Linked DNA regions of Yarrowia lipolytica. The protein of the gene in region 1 purifies or fractionates together with the protein of each later gene. This does not show direct contact. Links are inferred from orthologs where the notes say so. Each region holds a gene or a part of one and is shown in the gene's direction. Other genes may lie near its edges.

Evidence for each region.
Region 2: the proteins of YALI1_D35148g (region 1) and YALI1_A22157g purify together in Saccharomyces cerevisiae (affinity purification with mass spectrometry, with the first as the bait; 3 studies listed by BioGRID). This does not show direct contact. The link is inferred for Yarrowia lipolytica from reciprocal best matches to the Saccharomyces cerevisiae genes ECM16 and ENP2.

The regions. Positions count from the first base shown.
Region 1 is NC_090773.1:3,510,067-3,520,397, forward strand, and holds YALI1_D35148g (uncharacterized protein), read left to right. Parts: upstream 1-4,663; coding exon 4,664-4,924; intron 4,925-5,032; coding exon 5,033-8,554; downstream 8,555-10,331. Other genes in the region: YALI1_D35119g (uncharacterized protein), read right to left, coding at 613-1,806; YALI1_D35126g (uncharacterized protein), read left to right, coding at 2,473-2,796; YALI1_D35143g (uncharacterized protein), read right to left, coding at 2,986-4,137; YALI1_D35190g (uncharacterized protein), read left to right, coding at 8,869-10,095; YALI1_D35210g (uncharacterized protein), read right to left, coding at 10,266-10,331. UniProt on the Saccharomyces cerevisiae protein: Probable ATP-binding RNA helicase. Required for 18S rRNA synthesis. May play a role in restructuring of the pre-rRNA.
Region 2 is NC_090770.1:2,210,538-2,220,868, forward strand, and holds YALI1_A22157g (uncharacterized protein), read left to right. Parts: upstream 1-5,164; coding exon 5,165-7,249; downstream 7,250-10,331. Other genes in the region: YALI1_A22111g (uncharacterized protein), read left to right, coding at 508-2,133; YALI1_A22129g (uncharacterized protein), read left to right, coding at 2,323-2,934; YALI1_A22137g (uncharacterized protein), read left to right, coding at 3,161-4,927; YALI1_A22192g (uncharacterized protein), read left to right, coding at 8,631-10,331. UniProt on the Saccharomyces cerevisiae protein: May be involved in rRNA-processing and ribosome biosynthesis.

The DNA.
Region 1 (10,331 bases):
TATCTCGCAAACGGTTGTTGTGATGGACAGTGAGTTTCAATTTGAGGTGGCAGAAAACGTGTGGATTTACAGGGCAGGAAAGAACGTTGTCGCCATGCTTACTCATCTGGGTGGCGTCATAACGGTAATTTGAGAGAAAAGGGTCCATAAATCCAACACAAAGCCTCCAATAATGCGCTCTATATAACCTCCGACCAAGTTCCAACCGCCCCAAACCCCAAACAATCTGTCTGGGAAACGGAACACATGCTTGGTAGACACAACTTTATACAACGGTTATGCATGCAGTCCAGGCACGAACCAGTATAACCCTTAGTTGTGTCAGTACATCGAACACAAACGACACATGTCTGAGTATAAGATATCGACTGTATATACATATGTATGTACGACCTGTATCTGTCTTGGCTTCGTGGACCTCGCTCCACCAAGTCTTCAAAAGTCGGCTTGATATGGTGCCCTCGTGTGGGGTTGAACCAACGGGATATATACGAAACAACCTGTATCTACGAGGGCTAAAGAAACGGGATTATTATTATGCTAACAAGGGGAGGTAAATTCTAAAGGAGGACCAACCATTTTTTATCGATTGTGAGAGTGTCAGAGACTGATTTAGTCGAGTCGTCGTCGCTGGTTCTGCAGCTTGATGTTCTCGTACTGCCGGCCATCCTTTCGCCGTCGCTGGTTCTTGAACTTGGGGATGGCCCGAGCTCCAGCAGTGATCTGTGTGAACAGGACATAGATACAGGCGAAAATGACGACAACAGAGGGGATGGTGATGATGGTGATCATCATGCCCTCCTCGTTCTTGTCCAAATCAAGTCGTCCCTTGTCCTTCTTCTGCACGATGGCACCTCGTCGGAATCGCACAAAAGTAGAGTTCTTCAGAAGATAGTCATCGGTGATCTCGTCGTCATCCATGTAGTCAGGCTGGATAGCAACGGCAACCTTCTGCTCGTACTCGCCATCGAGCCACTCCTCCTCAATCTCCATAGGGTAGACTCCCCAGGTGTTTGACACCCATTCGGTGATGTGGAAGACACTGCTGTCCTCAATTTCTCGCTTGTGCAGAGCCTTACCCTGAATGTATGCGCAGTGGAGTCGGACCTTCTCGGCGTCGGGGAATTCTCGGGTGTACCAGGTGAACCAGTGGACGTGATCAAGCATGACACCCTTTCCGTATTGAGGGGAGCACCAGGGGCCAACTCGCTGCTTCTTCACCTTGATAAACTTCTCGGGTGTGCATCGCTCAACAGGGTTGAAGGAGGCCTCGATGGGATCCTCCTCGTCCAACATCTCATTGTGGACCACGACATCAGTAGGGTGAGCGGTCTTGTAGCCAGCAGAACGAGCGTTCTCAGTCACGTCTCGGTTGACGTGGAACCAGTCTCCATACTCAGGAGGAGCATTCTTAGTCTTTCCTTTGACCACCTTGGGAGTGATGGTCTTGGCCTGACCGTCCTTCTTCAGCTTGATCCAAGGGTTGGGAACAGCACCCACCTGTCGCTGGCCTCGGAAAAGCGCGTCTCCCCAGACGGTGGGGGTGACATGCATGGGTTCACCTCCATCTGTGGGCTTCAGCAGCCACGGCTTGGTCACATGGGCCTTTGTGATTTTAGTTTTCTTGGAGAACACCTTGGGGGGTCGCTTAAAGGGGTCTGCTCGCTTCTCGAGGTCAGACACGTCTGTGGGCTCGGATCCGGGCAAATCTGTGATGGTCGAGTAGTCGATGGCTTCGGTGTTTACCACGGTAGCTGTTGGCAGCGCCAGAACGGCTCCGGCAAGAAGAAGTACCGAGAATTTCATTGTTGTGTACAGTAGTGTTACACGTGTGTTGAGGCTATGCGATGTAGCGTGCGAATGCGGGTTTGGGGGGCACTAGGGCAGATGCTGAGCTCAAATACTCTTGTTTTCAACGTGTTTTTAGGCGGTGGCGAAAATGGTCGTGACTTCACAGGTGTGTTAGGAAGACTGTTGGAGGGTGATGTGTGTTTTTAAACCTGATGCGTGATTTAGCTCAAAAAATGAGATACATGAAGTATAAGCAGAATGTTTGTACGGCTGGGAGGAGAAACGGGTGAAAAGTCGGGCGTTTGGAGGCGTAAAACGTGCGTTCGAGCAGCAAAAATGTTCATAACAGTGAATCAACATATTAAACGCCCTCAAACGGTCAATAAGCATTATATTCACGGACTTACCGCCGCCTCGCTTTCGCCAGTCGTATCTCAGTGTTACGTTTCCCGGACTTGTAGAGTTCTGAGCCTAATCCAGGTTTTTGGTGGCACCCAAGTCTTCTCCCAAACACGAGTATTTTCCAGCATATGCAGATTTTCCTAGGACCGTTAAAAATTAAATCCGACGGAGATAACGCGCCCGCAGAAACTTTGAGACGCACAGTAAGCAGAAAAAGTTAGTGGTAGACGACTGGCACAGATACTGAACAAAACAACCACTATCAATCACACATTCACCATGGCTGAACAAATAAGAACCAACCTTGTTCATCAGCATCTGTGGAGCGACGTGGTCATCCACCAGACTAAGCTCACAGACCTGGTGCATGGAACTCCACCCAGGACTTTGCACCCTGATGACGCTGAGATCAGATCGGAATGGCTAGTACCTGCCAGATCCAACGACGACTGGACTATCAAGCAGTGGGACGAGTGTTTTCGCGAGGCTGAGGGTGTGGCTGGAAAAGACGTCGATCGCATGCTAATGGCCATCGTGGACAATGACTCCACCATCGTCTACTACTTCGTCTACAAGGGTCTGGTCAAGCCTCGAAAGAACTAGATTCACAACTATTATACACCCTGTTCCGTTATGATCCCGGTCCAGGCATTATCACCTTGCATTATAAATATATGTACATTACATGAAACAATATGGTCTGGGGCATAGTAATGTAGCACCCAGTCAGCCAGAAGACCTGTAGCTCGCGGCTTAAATAGGTCTTGACTGTAACATCAACTTCCATCTTTGTCACTCCAAAAACACCATGGATTCGTCAATCACAGGGCTCAGTTTCACATTGCCACTGTTAACCCAACGTCTAACAGATTTCTTCAAAACCCGTCCTCCCAGTTGTACCTTCTTGGCTTTTTCGTCGCTGTAGAGAACTACAGCATGCATTTCTTTGAGTGCTCGCATCACATCTTCCGGCTGGATATAAGTATGTTCGCTGATCGTCTCAATCGTGATGACGTCTTCTGTACACTCTATCAAGATGAACCGGGCTATCGTAGTACACCAGTAAGACATATATGATAAAGTGCCGAACTTCGACAGCGGTCGCTCTGGACTTCCTTTACGGCCTTCGTACTTCGACAGCACGTATGAAAACTCGATCAGCAGTTTGCCCAGCCCTCGCCTTTGATACGGAGGAAATACCAGAATGCAAGCCAGATTGTTTTCGTCCCACGACAGTTTCTCCTTGGAGAAGAAGCCCATGGGTTTAAAGTGCCTGCTGCTGGCGGTATCCTTGCCGAGCACAACATAAAATTCAAAGGCATCGGCGCCGAAGAACACAGACTTGTGGTCCAGGAAGAGCTTCGCGAACAGACAGAGATTCTGGCAGTAGAGCTTGTGAACGGCGCCATCAACACGGCGAATGGCATAGTCTTTCGATTTGTAAACCGTCTCTCCGGGGTGCTTGAACACATACTTGCAGGTGCTTCGGTGTTGGGCCATGTCCTTGGAGACCTTCGAGTATTTGAAACACGAGTCGCAGACAAACAGCTGTTTGACCTGGAAGTCGACCTGGGCTGGTGGTTGGTCATTGGGGGCCACAGATGCGTTTGCTGATGATCCAGAGGACGAAATGGTTGAGGATGTTAATGCAGAAGAGGTTCCTCCAGGTGTGCCAACAGACGGAGAGCTGTAGCGCTCAATGAAGAGCCGGGACATGTCGCAGGTGTGATTGTCCTTGTCCTTGTCGAGGGCCTTGGCCTCCATCAACGCCATGGCCCGCTTCCAGGTCAACTTCTTGAGTTCGTCCTTCTGTGAAAAATAGTATGCCGACGAGTGGTACCACGTGTCGAATTCACGAGGGCCAAAGACCACCCGTCCAATGTTTCGTGGAGGCTCTTCTTCCTCCTCATCGTCCAAGGGGTCGTCGTGCATTAGTGTTGGCATGCCAGGAGAAGATGTTGTCTATGTTGAAGGACTTCGTTTCTCGTCACCACAGAACAGTCATGCACGCTTCAACGTCGCGCTTAAAGACCCATGAGGCGGATGTGTAATAGATTACTTGTAGAGCAATTACTAACGAGAATGGTGTATAACATACTAGGGCTCAGTGTGCACACTATGTAACCATCATTTAATATAAATGTGTCTCTTTTAATTACACCTTTCATTTTTCTACTGAGACCACCTCACTTGCGGCTCGTACTATTTTCGCCCCTCAAAAATCGATGCCAATTTTTGGGAACCAAAATTTTATTGTTTATAATTATGTGAACTGCAGTTTGGTTTATAACTGAGACTCTCAAAGAAAAACATATATTACGTGAACATTTACTTCAAGTTATTATAGAAAAAGAACCTGTCTCCTCCCAACAGCCACATCACATGACCGCGCATACATCATGCACAATCAGAAAAAATTGGGCAATATAGCATAACCTGCGTGAAGCTGATTCAACCCATCGCTTCAACTATGGCGAAATACAAGCTAGGATACAACGCAAAGGCCCGAGCCGGCTCGCTGAAGAAGCAGCAGGAGCTCAAGGCCGCCAAGCAGAAAACCTGGGTCAAGAAGCCTACAGCAGAGGAGGAGGAAGAAGACGCCAATGCCGAGCTCATGGTGCCCAAGAGTGAGGCCGAGAAGGAGGCTCGAAAGAGAAAGCTCCAGGAAGAGCTCACACCTACGGAGAGCAAGATGACTTCAAAGAAGCGAAAGCGTCTAGACAAGTACATTGTGAGTATGACACGAGGATACGTCGCAGGTTTAGCTTAACCAGATTAGCTGAACCAGATTAGCTGAACCAAGGACATTCGCTGCGCTTATGATTACATACTAACTCAGGAAAAACAACTCAAGAGAGAAGAGAAGAAGGCATTGTTTTCCGAGTTTGCTGCTCGAAAGGGCACCTTTGATACATCTCAGCTCAAGTCTATGAAACACATGGGTGACAAGGAAACCAAAAAAGCCCGGATCGAGGAAGCTTTGCGTCTGGAGAAACTGGGTCTCGGTAATGAGGAGACCAAGGAGATTCTGTACGAGAAACACGATCACGAAGAGTGGGATGACGAGAAGCATTCTCATCTCCTGACTGAGCTGGAGCGAAAGGAGAAGCAAATGGCCGAAGAGGAAGAGCAGGAGAACAAAAGCTCATTCATTGACATGCGACCCAAGGCTGGTGGTGGTTTCGGTTTCCAGAACCTGGCCAAGGTTTCCAAGCCCGCAAAAAACTCTTACTCTTGGCGAAAGAAGCTCGAGATTGAGCGTGCTCGAAAGAACAAGAAGGACTACGTTAGCTCCGGGGAGGACGACGATACCGATTCTGATGAGGAGGATTCTGACGAAGATTCAGACGAGGATTCGGATGAGGAGTCTGAGGAGTCAGAAGAGGAAGGCACCAAAAAAGTGAAGGCGGCTGCCGAGGAGGAGATCGAGGAAGATGTCGAGGAAGAGGAAGAAGATGAAGACGAGCAGGAGGAGGAGGATGAGGACGAAGATGAGGACGAAGATGAGGACGAGGAAGAGGAAGACGAGGAAGATGACGAGTATACCGAAATCGTCACCAAAAAGACAAAGGGTTCTTCTTTCAAGGAATGGATCGATGAACAGTCTGGACCCAAGTCTTCCAACATCGAGGATCTCTCGCATATCAAGATCAAGAAAGAAAGAGTGGACAGAGACGAGGACCGCCTTACTCCTCCTCCCGAAGACATTGCCCAACCCGAGTACGCCAAAAGAAAGGCCTTTTATGTCAACGTTCAGCGAGACCCTGAAATCCAGACCTCCCGAATGAACCTTCCTGTCACCGGAGAAGAACAGAGAATCATGGAAGCCATTTTCAACAACGATTGTGTCATCATCTGTGGTGAAACTGGTTCAGGTAAGACTACACAGACTCCTCAATTCCTGATCGAGGCGGGTTTCGGAACGAAGGGTAGTGACTACCCTGGTATGATCGGTGTCACCCAGCCTCGACGAGTGGCCGCCATCTCTATGGCGCAACGTGTTGCTAACGAGTTGGGTAACCAAGGTGATAGAGTTGCCCATCAGGTGCGATTCGATGTCACCGTGAAGGATAATACAGCTCTCAAGTTCATGACTGATGGTGTGTTGCTGCGAGAACTGTCCCAAGACTTTGCTCTTACCAAGTACTCTGCTCTGGTAATTGATGAGGCCCATGAACGTAACATCAACACTGATATTCTCATTGGTGTGCTTTCTCGAGTTCTCAAGTTGCGAAAGGAGATGTTCAACGAAGGCAAGTGCGAGTCTCCCCTCAAGCTCATTATCATGTCTGCTACTCTGCGGGTTTCCGATTTCACAGAGAACAAGACTCTTTTCCCAGTTCCTCCTCCTGTTCTCAAGGTTGAGGCCCGACAATATCCCGTTTCTGTCCACTTCAACAAACGAACAACTTACGACTACATGGACGAGATCTACCGAAAGACCTGCAAGATCCACAAACGACTGCCCGATGGTGGTATTCTGATCTTCCTGACTGGCCAAAACGAGATTGTTAACGTGGTCAAGCGGCTTCGGAAGGCCTTCCCTGATCGAACTAAGGTGTGGCGGCCCAAGGACAAGTCTGAGGATCTCCAGGTCAAGGTGTCTGCCAATGAGACTGTAGTGGAGGCCGAGGAGGTTGATTTTGGCGCCGATATGCGACAACAGGACTATGCTGCTGTCGAGGGAGAGTCTGAGACAGATGAGGAGGACGGAGAAGAAGGTTTCGAAGAGGAGCTTGCTGTCGAGGAGCGAAATGAGTCTGCTCCTCTGCACGTGCTTCCTCTTTACTCTCTGCTGCCTACCAAGGAGCAGATGAAGGTGTTTGAGGAGGTTCCTGCCGGCCATCGACTGTGTGTCGTTGCTACTAACGTTGCTGAAACTTCGCTGACCATTCCTGGTATCAGATATGTGGTTGATTGTGGTCGAGCAAAGGAGCGAAAGTACGATGAAGAGACTGGTGTTCAGTCCTTTGAGGTTGATTTCATCTCCAAGGCTTCTGCCGATCAGCGAGCTGGTCGTGCCGGTCGAACTGGTCCCGGTCACTGCTACCGTGTCTTCTCATCTGCCGTCTATGAGGAGTTCTTCCCTCAATTCTCCATCCCCGAGATTCTCCGATGCCCTGTTGAGGGCATTGTTCTGGAGATGAAACACATGGGTATTGACAAGGTGGTCAACTTCCCCTTCCCCACTCCCCCCGACAGACAGTCCCTGGCCAAGGCCGAGAAGCTGCTGGAGTACCTAGGTGCCCTCAGCAACACTGGTGTTATTTCTGATATGGGTAAGCAGATGTCTCTGTTCCCTCTGTCCCCGCGATTCGCCAAGATGCTCATTATTGGTTCTCAGCTCGAGTGCCTGCCTTACATGGTTGCCATTGTTGCTGCTCTCACAGTTGGAGATCCCTTCATTGGAGAGCACGAGCTTGGCATCAATGAGAAACCACAGAAGCCCAAGGTTGAGGAGGTTGATGAAGACGGAGACCGGATTAAGAGCAACGAGTCTGACTCCGAGCCCGAGGACATTTACGAGATTGAGCGAAAGCGAAAGCTGCGATCCAGCTACCATAAGGCCCAGGCAAAGCTGGCCTCCCTGGACCCTGCATCTGACGCTCTGAAGCTGCTCTCTGCCGTCTGCGCCATGGACTACGATTCCGACCTGGAGAACTTCTGCAAGGGCTTCTTCCTGCGACACAAGCTGATGGAGGAGATGCGAAAGCTGAGACAGCAACTGAGCCGAATCGTTGTGGCCAACTCCGACCCTCGAGCAGCTCCTATGCTCAAGGAACAGTTGAATGCCAAGCTCAAGCCTCCTTCTAAGCTCCAGATCAAGGCTCTCAAGCAGATGATTGCCACTGGTTTTGTTGACCAGGTGGCTCAGCGTCTGGACAAGGTCAGCGAGGACTACAAGCTCACTTCTCGAGAGCGAATCATCAACGTTCCCTACCAGACTCTGTTCCCCACCTCCACCACCAACAAGAAGACTGACGACCAAGGAAACCCTCTGCCTGACGACACTCAGGTGTTCATTCACCCCGGATCTGTCATTAACACTATGGGAACTCATCCTCCCGAAATGTTGGTATTTGCTTCCGTCAACCGATCGGGATCTTCCAAGCTGAGAATCAAGCCTCTCTGTGATATCACATCTGCCCAGATTGGCAACATTGCCAAGGGCACTGCTCTACTCACATACTCCAAGCCCCTGCCTCCCCCCTACGGCCCCAAGATGATCACCAGTACCTCTCGAGAGTGTTGGGTGGTTCCTCGGCTGGGAGCTGCTATTGGCTCTGGAGGCACTGGATGGGATCTGCCTCCTATTAAGGTGAAACAGGAGAAGAAGGGTAGCCAGTGGGTTACCTTGTAAAAATTGCCATAGCAACAAACGAACAAAAACCATAGCATGTTTATATTGTATTAGATTTCTTCATAATTTTAGGGAAACACACTGTATCTTCACTTCGTAGCTACAGCACTTACTAAGCACTTTTTACATCCTCGGTAAGTAATTAGGTTTGTGCATCCATACCCCACATAAAGTTGAACATGAAAGAAGGGAAGACTGATTTGCCCCCACAGCACCAGACAACCAGCAATACGGCGGTTGATCATTGTTAAGCCAAACGATTGGAACCTGATCATATCATATCAACCCAAAACGACCTTTCCTCACGACAAAAAATGGACTACTTTTCGTCACTCAACGCGAGCCAGCTGGATCCTGATGTGCCCACACTGTTTGAGCTTCTGTCTGCTAAACAGCTGGAGGGTCTGATTGCCCCTTCGGTTCGATATATTCTTGCATTCTACGCCCAGAGACATCCGCGGTATCTACTGCGAATCGTCAACCGCTACGACGAGCTGTACGCGTTGTTCATGGGTCTGGTGGAGTACTATAATCTCAAGACATGGAATGCCAGCTTCACAGAAAAGTTCTACGGTCTGAAACGAACACAGATCCTGACGAATCCCGCACTGAGAACACGCCAGGCCGTGCCGGATCTGGTCGAGGCTGAAAAACGGCTGAGCAAGAAGAAAATCTGGGGATCACTCTTTTTCCTCATTGTGGTGCCATATGTGAAGGAGAAGTTGGATGCGCGATACGAGAGACTCAAGGGCCGGTACCTAGCTAGGGATATCAATGAGGAGCGAATCGAGATCAAGAGAACAGGTACGGCCCAACAAATAGCAGTCTTCGAGTTTGACTACTGGCTTCTCAAGCTCTACCCCATTGTCACCATGGGATGCACCACTGCCACCCTGGCCTTCCACATGCTCTTCCTCTTCTCCGTCACGAGGGCGTATAGCATTGATGACTTCCTGCTTAACATTCAGTTCTCTCGAATGACCCGGTACGACTACCAGATGGAGACCCAGAGAGATAGCAGAAACGCTGCTAACGTGGCCCATACCATGAAGTCCATCTCCGAGTACCCCGTTGCAGAGCGTGTGATGCTGCTGCTCACAACAAAGGCTGGAGCCAACGCCATGCGATCTGCTGCTCTTAGCGGCCTTTCGTATGTGCTTCCCACTTCTATTTTCGCCCTCAAGTTCCTTGAGTGGTGGTACGCGTCTGATTTCGCTCGACAGCTGAATCAAAAGAGACGAGGAGACTTGGAAGACAATCTTCCGGTGCCAGATAAGGTCAAGGGAGCCGACAAACTTGCGGAGTCCGTGGCAAAGTGGAAGGAGGACACCTCCAAGTGCCCTCTCTGTAGCAAGGAGCTGGTCAATCCTACAGTCATTGAGTCAGGTTATGTGTTTTGCTACACTTGCATTTACCGACATTTGGAGGATGGAGACGAGGAGACAGGCGGTCGATGTCCCGTGACTGGCCAGAAGCTGCTGGGATGCAGATGGCAGGACGATGTATGGCAGGTGACCGGTCTGAGACGACTGATGGTGTAACGATACATACTATAGCATAACATGTACATTTAAACGCATCTTTTATCTTTATGCGACAGGGCGTGTTTGCGCGCTTCCCATTGTAAAATTACAGTACATTGTATAACTTATATGAACCTCCTGTCGAATCTCGACCTTTACCTTTTGTTTCCGATTGTATTCTCCTTCTCCTAAATTGGCTTAATCTTGAAATGCAGACCCACCAGAGAAAACACCAGGGCCTTGATATCCTGAAC
Region 2 (10,331 bases), on another chromosome or scaffold:
TGTGATCCAAGGTTTAGTGTCGATGCTTCAGGGGTGTCTGTTTGGTGATACGCTAACAACCGAACTTGTGTGGGTACACGGTACGAGAACTCCTGGCCGTGGTCAAAATACGAGTACAAGTACTGTACCGGTACAGTACTTGTATTTTATGCTGTTTGTGTATGCAATCCCACCTGTATTCTGCTGCAGTTCACTGCGTTTTTCGTGCAGAAAAGTGGGGTATGCCATTATCACGTGTGGATTTTTCTTCGGTATGTTTCAGAATCTAAGAATCCAATTTTGGGGACTACTTGTAGTAGTTCACGTGACTTACAAGGTGCATCATGCCTATTTTCTTCGGTCGACTTCTCAACTCCATACACCATTTCTCATACTCTTGCTTATCGCAGATCACTCATCCGCACCAGAGCATGCGGCACTGAAAAGCCACCCTACTCTGTGCCGTATCAAAAGTTAAATGTGTCGTGTGCGTTATCTTTTTCATCTACAGAGCACACGGCGCACACCATGAAACGAGCTCTTGCTGCTGTTGCCCTGACGGCATTAGCGGTGGTTTTGATTCGAAACAGTCATAGTGGCGACTTCACCACCATACTCACGCGCTCAGAGTCTCTATCGGATGCGCCACCATTGAGACAATCGGAATTTTCCCCTCCAGCGTTTAATGAGTCAACCTACATTTTCAACGCTGTCCACAACCAGCTACGGCACGTTGGAAATGCTATGGCTCCTAATGGAATGACGTTTACCCCGGGATTCGTGCCTCCGGGAACCGTTCTATATCACGGCATGAACAGAAAGGAACTTCCGCAGGACCTTGACTGGTTCGCCTTTGACCCAGAGTATTCCTTCACAATGTGTTGCAACATCGGGCATGCCTTTGGTAATCCCCATATTACAACTGCCCAGGTGGTGGAACCGCTCAAGATTGTATACATTGACGGTGCCAGTGCGTCTCTGTCCTCCGATCTGGGGACCATGGACTCTCAGGGTTTTCTTCTAGACGATCCCATCGACACCTGGAATGACTACACTGAGTTTGCACGAGGTGATCGTCTGTGCAGACTTTTCAAGGAAAATGGCTTTAAGCTGGATGGTTTTGTGCGTATGAACACGGGCTTTGAGCTCCTAATGTGCAACATGACCAACCCCAAGGTGGAGTATGTCATGAACAATGCCATTGCGGTCAGTGAGGAGGAAGGTACCGCTGGCCTGATGAAGCGAAGTAGCTTTGAAGTTGGTCAGACTTTCTTGTCGAGAGACAGATTTGGCAATCTGCTGGTTCGTCCCTCTCGAGAATTCAACTTCTTTGATTATGACTGGGTCAAGAGCATGGAACGTACTCATTCCAGTGCAGGGGAAGAGCGGGTGGAGCTTGATTATCGGGGACTGGTGACCATTTACGGCATGGAGGGCAGCCGAGACATCGATTTTCCAAAAAATGTGTCTCAGCATCGACTGCTCACGGGTTCTGAGGCTCTGAGACAGGAGCTAAGGTCGCAGCTTTGGGAGGCAGACAAACACACAAGAACCTACGATCCGTACAGAATCAATTGGAGAACGGTGACGGACAACCTTGTGTACAAGATGGCGCCTATTTTGGCTCAGATTAAAAATGGGCAGCTGGAGGCTGGGACCAGCTCTTTGAACGATACGTCCAAGCATCTTGGTGGTATCACGTCCATGTTACGACTGAGATTTGAGGGTGATGAAGAGCTCGCTAACAGTACAAGACATGATGTTGATGCTCAGGTTGAACGATGTGCCAAAACATACGCTTCTGACTTCCATAAGTACGACGTCACGCCTTTTGAGGAAAAAGTGAGGTTCGCCATCAGACTTGTTTCCACTGCAGTGTGTTCTGTAATCATGGAAACTGCAGATTGGGCAAACAAGGTACAGACTCGTGTCGGCAACGTTTCTGAAGAGCTTCCATCTAAGTTGCATGCTGACGTTTCGGATCTGATATCTGATCTCAACTGGTCCTATTTTGTTTCTTGTACTCATCGGTGCAAGGACAACGAGGTCTGCTATCTCCCCACCTGGCCCCATGGAGGTCGAGAGCCCCATATTCCGGCAGAGCCTCTTCAGTGTAGAACCATTGAGGATCTCAGGAAGAGTAGAGGGCTGTAGGTTGTGTTTTATAGCAATAATTATTTTCTGATTTATGCTGTTTGTCAAGTATCTTTCAAGTAATTATGTTGATTCTCTTATATTCTTCACTTTGTTGGTTATCTCTCCTATACAATTTAGATTCGCGCGCATGCAGACAGACAGACGTTATCGTCATGAAACTTCCACCTCCCCACACACCAAATCACCATGGCAGCACTCATCATTGTGGACTTGCAAAATGACTTTCTTCCTGGAGGCTCTCTTGCTGTAGTCGACGGAAATGACATCATACCCATTGTTCAGAAACTCGCTGACTCTGGCAAGTACAAATTTGTGGTGGCCACCAAAGACAGTCATCCCCAAGACCACACATCGTTCGCCGCCAACCATGGAGCTGAGCCGTTCACCTCAATCACATTCAAGCACCCTAACTCAGACAAACAGGTAGACCATACCGTGTGGCCTGTTCATTGTGTGGAGGGTACTTCTGGGGCAGATTACCCTCCTTCATTCGACTCGTCCAATGTGCAGGCTCTTGTTCGAAAGGGATACTTGCAGGACAGAGAGTATTATTCTGGATTTGAGGACGTTTGGGGCATCCACAAGACAGAGCTTCATGACCTGTTGCAGCAAAATGGCGTTACGGAGGTTGACGTGGTGGGACTTGCATTTGATTATTGTGTGTTCAATACAGCTAAAGACGCTGCCAAACGCGGCTATAAAACCACAGTCATTAGGGAAGCCACCAAACCTGTGGATCCTTCTTCTGAAAAAAAGATTGTTGCTAGTCTTGAAGAGGCTGGGGTTCATGTCGTCTGATCCACAACCCAAACCGACTGGTGATACTGCTGCCAGTACAATACTCGCACTCCGATTGACTGCTCAAATATGCAATGTACAGTACACTGTGTGTATTTTCGTCTCTACATTCTCTTTATGACGGGTCTTTTGGGGCTCACTTTCTACAGTATATCCTAACACTTTTGTCTCTTTTTTACACAACACATACCATACAACTCTCAACACAAGACTCTGTTTGTTTATCATGGACGCCCTATACACTGCCTTCAACTCTGGAAAGCTGGAACCCTTCGTCCAATCTGTGTATAGAGATGGAACCATCGACCTCTACGCCAACAGTGAAGCCATCTGTCTGTTCTCAGGGAGAGAAAATGAGCCTTACCTAGACAGCTTTTTGGGTGGTATCTGTCTTCGATACAGCTGCAACCGGCTGATCAACGAAGGACCGTGGGAAGACCGTCTGGAAGCTGCCAAGCAGATGGTCCAGATCCTCACTCGTCACTATAAGACGCCCATTATCGACTCCAGTGTTCTGCTGAGCATGCACTCCGTGTTCGATACCATGGTCTCTCTGGGTGAGGAATGTTGCGTCTCTTCAGGCTCAATCGACTTTGTGCGCTTCGGAAGAGTCTTCCATGGCATCACGCTGGTCTACATTTTCATATCCGAGCTCAACCAGGCATTAATTTCTATTCCTGACTTTCTGATCCAACGTTGGGGAGCACTCAACCTACGGGCCAACGCCCTAGGCATTTCTGTCCAACCCAAGACCATGACCAAAGTTCTAGACGAGTCTCGAGGTCTTGTTTTGGGCATGCCTGTGTCCAATGGAGATTCTGCTACTGCCCATTACCTACTTTCGCGATTCGGAAAGATCTCCCAGATACTGACAGGACTCCAACAGTCTCCAAAAATCAGCCTTGGTGAGATATTGAGCTTCTGTGCGTCAGAACCTGACCTGCAGTTCCTCTCTCTCATGCTTGTTCGTCAAGACTACTACGAAGAGCTTGTCGAGCTGCTGGAGAACCCTGATGAGGAGATTGTGGGCATGACGACCATTCTTATGGTTCGTGTTGGTCTCACAATCAGATTCATTGACCCTGAGGAGGAGCTGCCAAGCCATCCATGTGTCCCACGATACTCCACGGGTTCTCTCACCCAACAGATGGAGTTTGTGTTCCAGATTTTGGACCGTCCAGACCTCTTGTCGGCCAAAATGAACTCTTCTAACCCCCATCACACCTGGATGGGTGCTCTGTCTGCAGTGGTGACTGAGTGGATCGCCGCTGATAAACCTGAGGAGGTGTACGGAGCGAACAAGAAGTTCTATGAGCTTGATCCCCCTGTATCACTCATTTTTGCGCTGTGTAGACTCCTCTACCTCGTTTGTGAGATGAATGGGGCTGGAAATAAGGATCTTGTCATCGGTAACATTCTCTCCTATGTCTCTCCTCCATCTCCGCTTCTACCCTCCAAGGTAGAGCCTATCAAGTTGGAAGACAGGTACCTTCCTTTCCAGCTGGGCGAGTTCGAGGGCACCACGATGGCTACCCGGGAGAGAAACCACGTGATTCTCTCTTTAATTGGGGTCATTAGACTCCAGATTGAATACACATACTCTTTTATTCGCGAAGAGATTGACAAAGATCTGATTAGAGTGCTCTTTTCTGGACTCCTGGCAGCCTATTCCAACTGCGTTATCCACGAGGAAACGTCTTCTATCGAGCTTATCATGTCCACTTTCAACGGTTGCATCCAGGTCTTCCCGTCTGGAGGTCTGATTCTTGTGGAACTACTGGCTGAGCTTTCGCAGCAGTCTCTACGGTTTGTTGGGGTATTTGCCACCGTGTTCAGCAGGTTCTATGACAAGAAGTACTTTTACGGGTGCGAGTTTTACTTCAATGACTTCCTTAGACGTTGGGGAGACACGCCGTCTTTTGATATCACACAGCTGCGTTCCAAGTTCACTTCTTCCTTGGAAGATAGAGCCACTGTTTCTGGAAGTACTTAGTTACGGTCTTGCAGTATATTCTCTTCTTTTCCTATCATTACCATTTGTCAATAAATATATGCCGTTCAAGATCGATCTTGTAGCTAGTTTACGTAATCATTTTCACTTGAGAAGCCTATTTCAGTAACCTGGTTTAGGGCTCAAATATGCATGGTGAGCCTATTTGAAATTTTTTGGCAGTAATCTGCAGAGGGACACAAAAGTTCCAAGGTATATCACTGACGCATCAACACCACAATGGTCCTTCGATCTACACCTGGAGCCGTTTCTGTGTACCAGATTTCTGGTACAAACTCTTCCAGATCACTGCCAGAATGGCTGGCCAAGAAGCGAAAGAAGTCTCTCAAGAACGATGCCGAGTACTCCAACCGAATCGAGCTGATTCAGGATTTCGAATTTGCTGAGGCTTCCAACAAAATTGAGGTGACTCGAGATGGAGGATATTGCATGGCCACCGGTACTTATAAGCCTCAGATCCATGTCTACGACTTTGAGGATCTCTCTCTCAAGTTTGAGCGACACACTGACGCTGAGAATGTTGACTTCAAGATTATCTCCGACGACTGGACCAAGAGTGTGCATCTGCAAAACGACCGATCTATTGAATTCCAAGGACAGGGCGGAATCCTGACGAAATCACGAATCCCAAAGTTTGGACGAGCGCTGGCTTACAACGACGAAAACTGCGACCTGTATGTTGGAGCTGCAGGAAACGAGGTATACAGACTGAACCTGGACCAGGGTCGGTTTATGGCTCCCTTTGAGCTCAGCAGTGCCGGTGTCAACTGTCTGGACGTTAACCAGGCCCACGGTCTCCTGGGTTTCGGTACTGATGCTGGTATTGTCGAATTTTGGGATCCTCGAAGTAGGAGCAGAGTGGGTATGCTGGATGTGGGCGCTCCCGGACTGGGTGGCGGTGCCACAGCTCTCAAGTTCAGAAACGACGGTCTGAACGTGGGTATCGGTAACGCTGACGGTATTGTTCGTCTCTTTGATCTGCGAGCGCCGGAGCCCTATGTCACCAAGGACCAGGGATACGGTTTTGGCATCAAGAAGGTGCTGTGGGTCAACGACGACCATGTGCTGTCTGCCGACAAGCGAGTCGCCAAGATCTGGGACCGACGAACCGGAGACGCCTACACCTCCATTGAGCCCACTGTGGACATTAACGACGTGGCACACATCCCCGGTTCCGGTATGTTCATGTTCGCCAACGAGGGTATTCCTATGCATACTTACTACATCCCCAATCTGGGACCTGCGCCCAAGTGGTGTTCATTCCTGGAAAACGTCACCGAAGAGCTGGAGGAGAAGCCCAGCACTTCTGTATACGACAACTACAAGTTTGTCACCAAGCGAGAGCTGGCGGCACTCAACATTTCACACCTCATTGGCTCGGCCGTGGTCAAGTCGTATATGCATGGTTACTTCATTGACCAGCGGCTCTACGAGCAGGCCAAGCTCATCTCCAACCCTTTTGCTTACAAGGAGCACCGAGAGCGGGAGATCCGAAAGACTCTGGAGAAGGAGCGGGAGTCGCGTATCCGAACCTCTGGAACTGGAGCCATTGCATCCCGTGTCAAGGTTAACAGGGCTCTTGCTGAGAGACTATTGGCTGAGTCTGAGGCCGAGGTCACTAACAAGAAGAAGGTGTCTGCCAAGGAGACTTCCAAGGCTGCTCTTTCCGACGATCGATTCGCTGGCATTTTCGAGAACCCCGATTTCGAGGTCGACGAGAATGCTGCAGAGTTCAAGCAGCTCAACCCTTCGCACAAGAAGGTCAAGGGCCAGCAGTATGGTGAGGCACCTCTGCGAACTACTGCCCGACCCCTTACTGCTGCTGAGGAGGAGGCCATGGAGGAGAATAACGGCTACTCGTCCGATGAGCACGTGGAGGCTACTGATGAGGAGCCCGACTCTGAGGATGAGCGAAAGGCCGCCAAGAAGAAGGCTCTGGCAGAGAAGCGGGCTGAGAAGAAGGCTGCTGAGCGTGCAGCCTTCCAGGCCAAGCGTGCTGACAATATCAAGATGACTACGGGCTCTGAGGCTGCTCGAGAGGAGATTCCCGATGACGACTTTGCTGACCGAGTGGCTGATCTCGAGGCTGAGGAGGACCGGCACGTCATGAAGAACGTCAAGATGTCCAAGGGCGCTGGAGGAGCCGTGGAGATGACTTTTGTGCCTCAGGGAAGAGGCAAAAAGGGTCGTGGTCCTCGACCCAAGCGAGATGGAGATGAAGAGGAGGCACGGGACACTGGAAAGAGCAGACAGGAGTATGATGGTCGACGACGGGCTGGCAAGAACGCCTTCCGAGGTATGTAAGAAATGCATAATTAGTATAGAAGCGAAAGGATTCAAAGTATTAGTTCGAGAGATTATGTAGATGATGTAATGAATGCAGTACGAGTGTATACAACTGAGATACCGGTACTGTACTTGTACTGTAGCTACTCGAAAGACGCAGGAAGACACCGATGCAAACGCTTATTCCTACTCGTACTCGTACTATGATAGCACTGAAAACTGTATCAATTTGTCGTAACCGTGCCGAATGGCTTGCCGCACCATTTATTATCTCGCCGCACACCATTATCATGCTCCAGATCCTGTCACGCTCCACTTCCCGTAACTACCAGTATGTGTACATTCCTCTGCGGCTCCCCGTCCACCGACCGCAGATAAGATGTATGGCCACTCACCGGCTAATGAAATCGGTAGTTTGCTCATGCTGCCTTGCGGAAAAAAATGGTGAACACTAAACGGAGACTCCCTTTTGATAATAAGGTGTTTGGCGTATAGAGATACGGGTTTTGAAGTATAAGAGAGAAGAAGTGTAGGTTGCTGTATTTGGATCTCCCCAAGTCTAGTCGTATCACATCTGACTGTCCATGACGTGCTCTACAGCCATTTCTTCGTAGCTCTTCTTTCTATGCGGCTCTTGTTGAGTTTCAACGGGCCCCGCATGTACACTCCAGCCAAACTCAACTGTTGTGTATACTGTAGGTATGGTATGGTATGAAAGAACCGCCTGAGAGAGGTCTCGGGTTCCCATGCACGTGACGCCGCAACACAACGGTTGCGTTTAAGTTGGTGTCTTAAGTTTGGGCCCGAGTGGGGAAGGTCCTACGGGGCCACATAGCGGTTGGATGGCTTAGTAGTGGTGTGTCATCCTCCGGACCACTGATTTCTGCGCGCCCAGAAACGTCAGCAGCACACCACCCGCTTGTCGGCATGATTGCGAATAAACAAGTTAAGAGTTTCATTTAACGGAGCGAGGGCTGCTGAATGCACAGGAGGATAACGCAATGCTGCGCACACATTTTCGGCACGCAACCTAGCAGCAACTGTTGAGACTGCTGTGAGTGGGTCTGTTTAAGGGTTTGTGTGTGTGCCGGCTGCATGGGGTTAGGTAGGCCAGTGTGATTCAGCCTATACACCCGCGCCACACACGTAAAACTGCATCTCTATCTTCTTGGAGACAACGGGAAGCTGTCAACCTCAACTTGTTTGTCGGCCTTGCGGCGCTTCTTTTAGCCCTGGCCTTATAAGGTAAAATAGGGTTGGGCAAGCGGCTGGAATTACTCCGCGCCGCACGGACCTTTAGGGCCTTCGGCAGCAGTTTGGAGAAAGCAAAAGCCCAGAGCACACGAGTGTGGTTTGCACTTGTTTTGATTTTGGTCTGAAAAAGTCCCTATAACCCTACATGTCTGCTCAGGACGAACGCTCACGCATCCCCCCAATTTCCTCCCAGGCCGATTCCGCCCTTCTCAATCCGCCTCACTCTGCTCTTCAACAACAACAATCGTCTTCCAACGGCACCAGTAACCAACCAGACTCGTCAACCATGACGGACACACGAGGCCCGTTGATGACGCAGGAAGCCCGCGATCGCGAGACCCAAAACAGCCTGAAACCACATCCGCAGTCGCAGTCGCTCTTCAACAAACCCCAGATCGCACCTGTGCTCACTGAAGCTGCCTCAGGCTTGCGCCCCGACACCAACATCAACAGTAATAACAACAACGCCTCGTCGCATACTTCTCATACGACATCGCTCTTGTCAGCAGCAGCATCAGCTCGAGGGCCCGATGGATTGATCGCGCACATCAGAAATGCTGCACCCCCAACAGCGGCCATAGAGTCCTCGCCATACTACTCTTACCCCCAACCACATTCTCATATGAAGAACCATCCGCATCAGCAGCCTCCCGCAGCTCCAGGTATCTTCCCCCAGCATCCCCAGCATTCACCACCCCACCCACAAGCCCATCCTCACCAGCACCAGCCTCCAGCACCATACGGTTATGCCCCTGGGCGTCTGCCTCCTCCAGGAATGCGACCCCCCGCCATGGGCTACTACCCGTACTACCCGTACTCGGCCGATTTGCAGCGAATGCCTCCAGTCGACCAGGGAGACGCCTCACACCCCAAGCTGCCACGTATTAACGTCGACCCTCGTGTAAACTCGCCTGAACAACGACCCTACCCCGACTACGCGCAGCAGCAACCTCAACAGCACGCGCCTCTGCAGACCAGCAACAATAACAATCGCGCGCCTCCAGAGCAGGCGTCCACAGCTTCCGACTTTGGTGGCGACAGACCGCCACCTAAAAAGCGAGGCAGAAAACGAATTGAGGTCGCCGAGGTGCTGGCTAACAACGACCTGAGCCACTGCTCGCCTCTGGGAGAAAAGGAACTCGAGGCCGACCATCGAAAACACAAACGGCCCTCAAGACCTCAGGCTGCAGAAACCACTACCGGAGAACGGCAGTACCCATGCACCTTCCCAGGATGTGAATGGTCATTTGTGCGAATTTCCGACCAACGACGCCACCTGAGATCGCACCAGGAGCCGCTGTTTGTGTGTCCCTTCTACGCCGAAGACAACTCATGCCACAGAAACGGAGGCTCTTTCACACGATCAGATGTGCTCAAACGACATCTGCGGCTGGTCCACTTTGTGCAATTCAAACAGAGTGACTCGGGCTGGTGTAGATACTGTGAGAAGATCTTCCCATCACACAAATTCTTCCTCGACCATTGCGACACCTGTGCAGTCAACAACAAGAGAAAAACACGAAAAGGAGCACCAGACCACGACGCGGACTACAACCAGAACAAGTCTGAGCAGGCGCAAAGCCATCAGCAACCACAGCAGCAATTGCAGCTCACACAGCCCCATCAGTCTACTCATGCCCACATGCCTCCCCCCCAGGACGTGTCTCACAACGAAATTGAAGCCGACCAAGAGCCCGAGGCTGATCTCGAATTGCTCAGTACCGCCTCCAGTATGTTGGCCAAGGAGCCTGGAGAGCTTCCTGTTCTTGCATCGCATTTGAAGGGCCAGGAGGACTCGGATCGACACCAGAAACGAAAAGGCCGATCCTCCAAGAGTTCCCTGTCG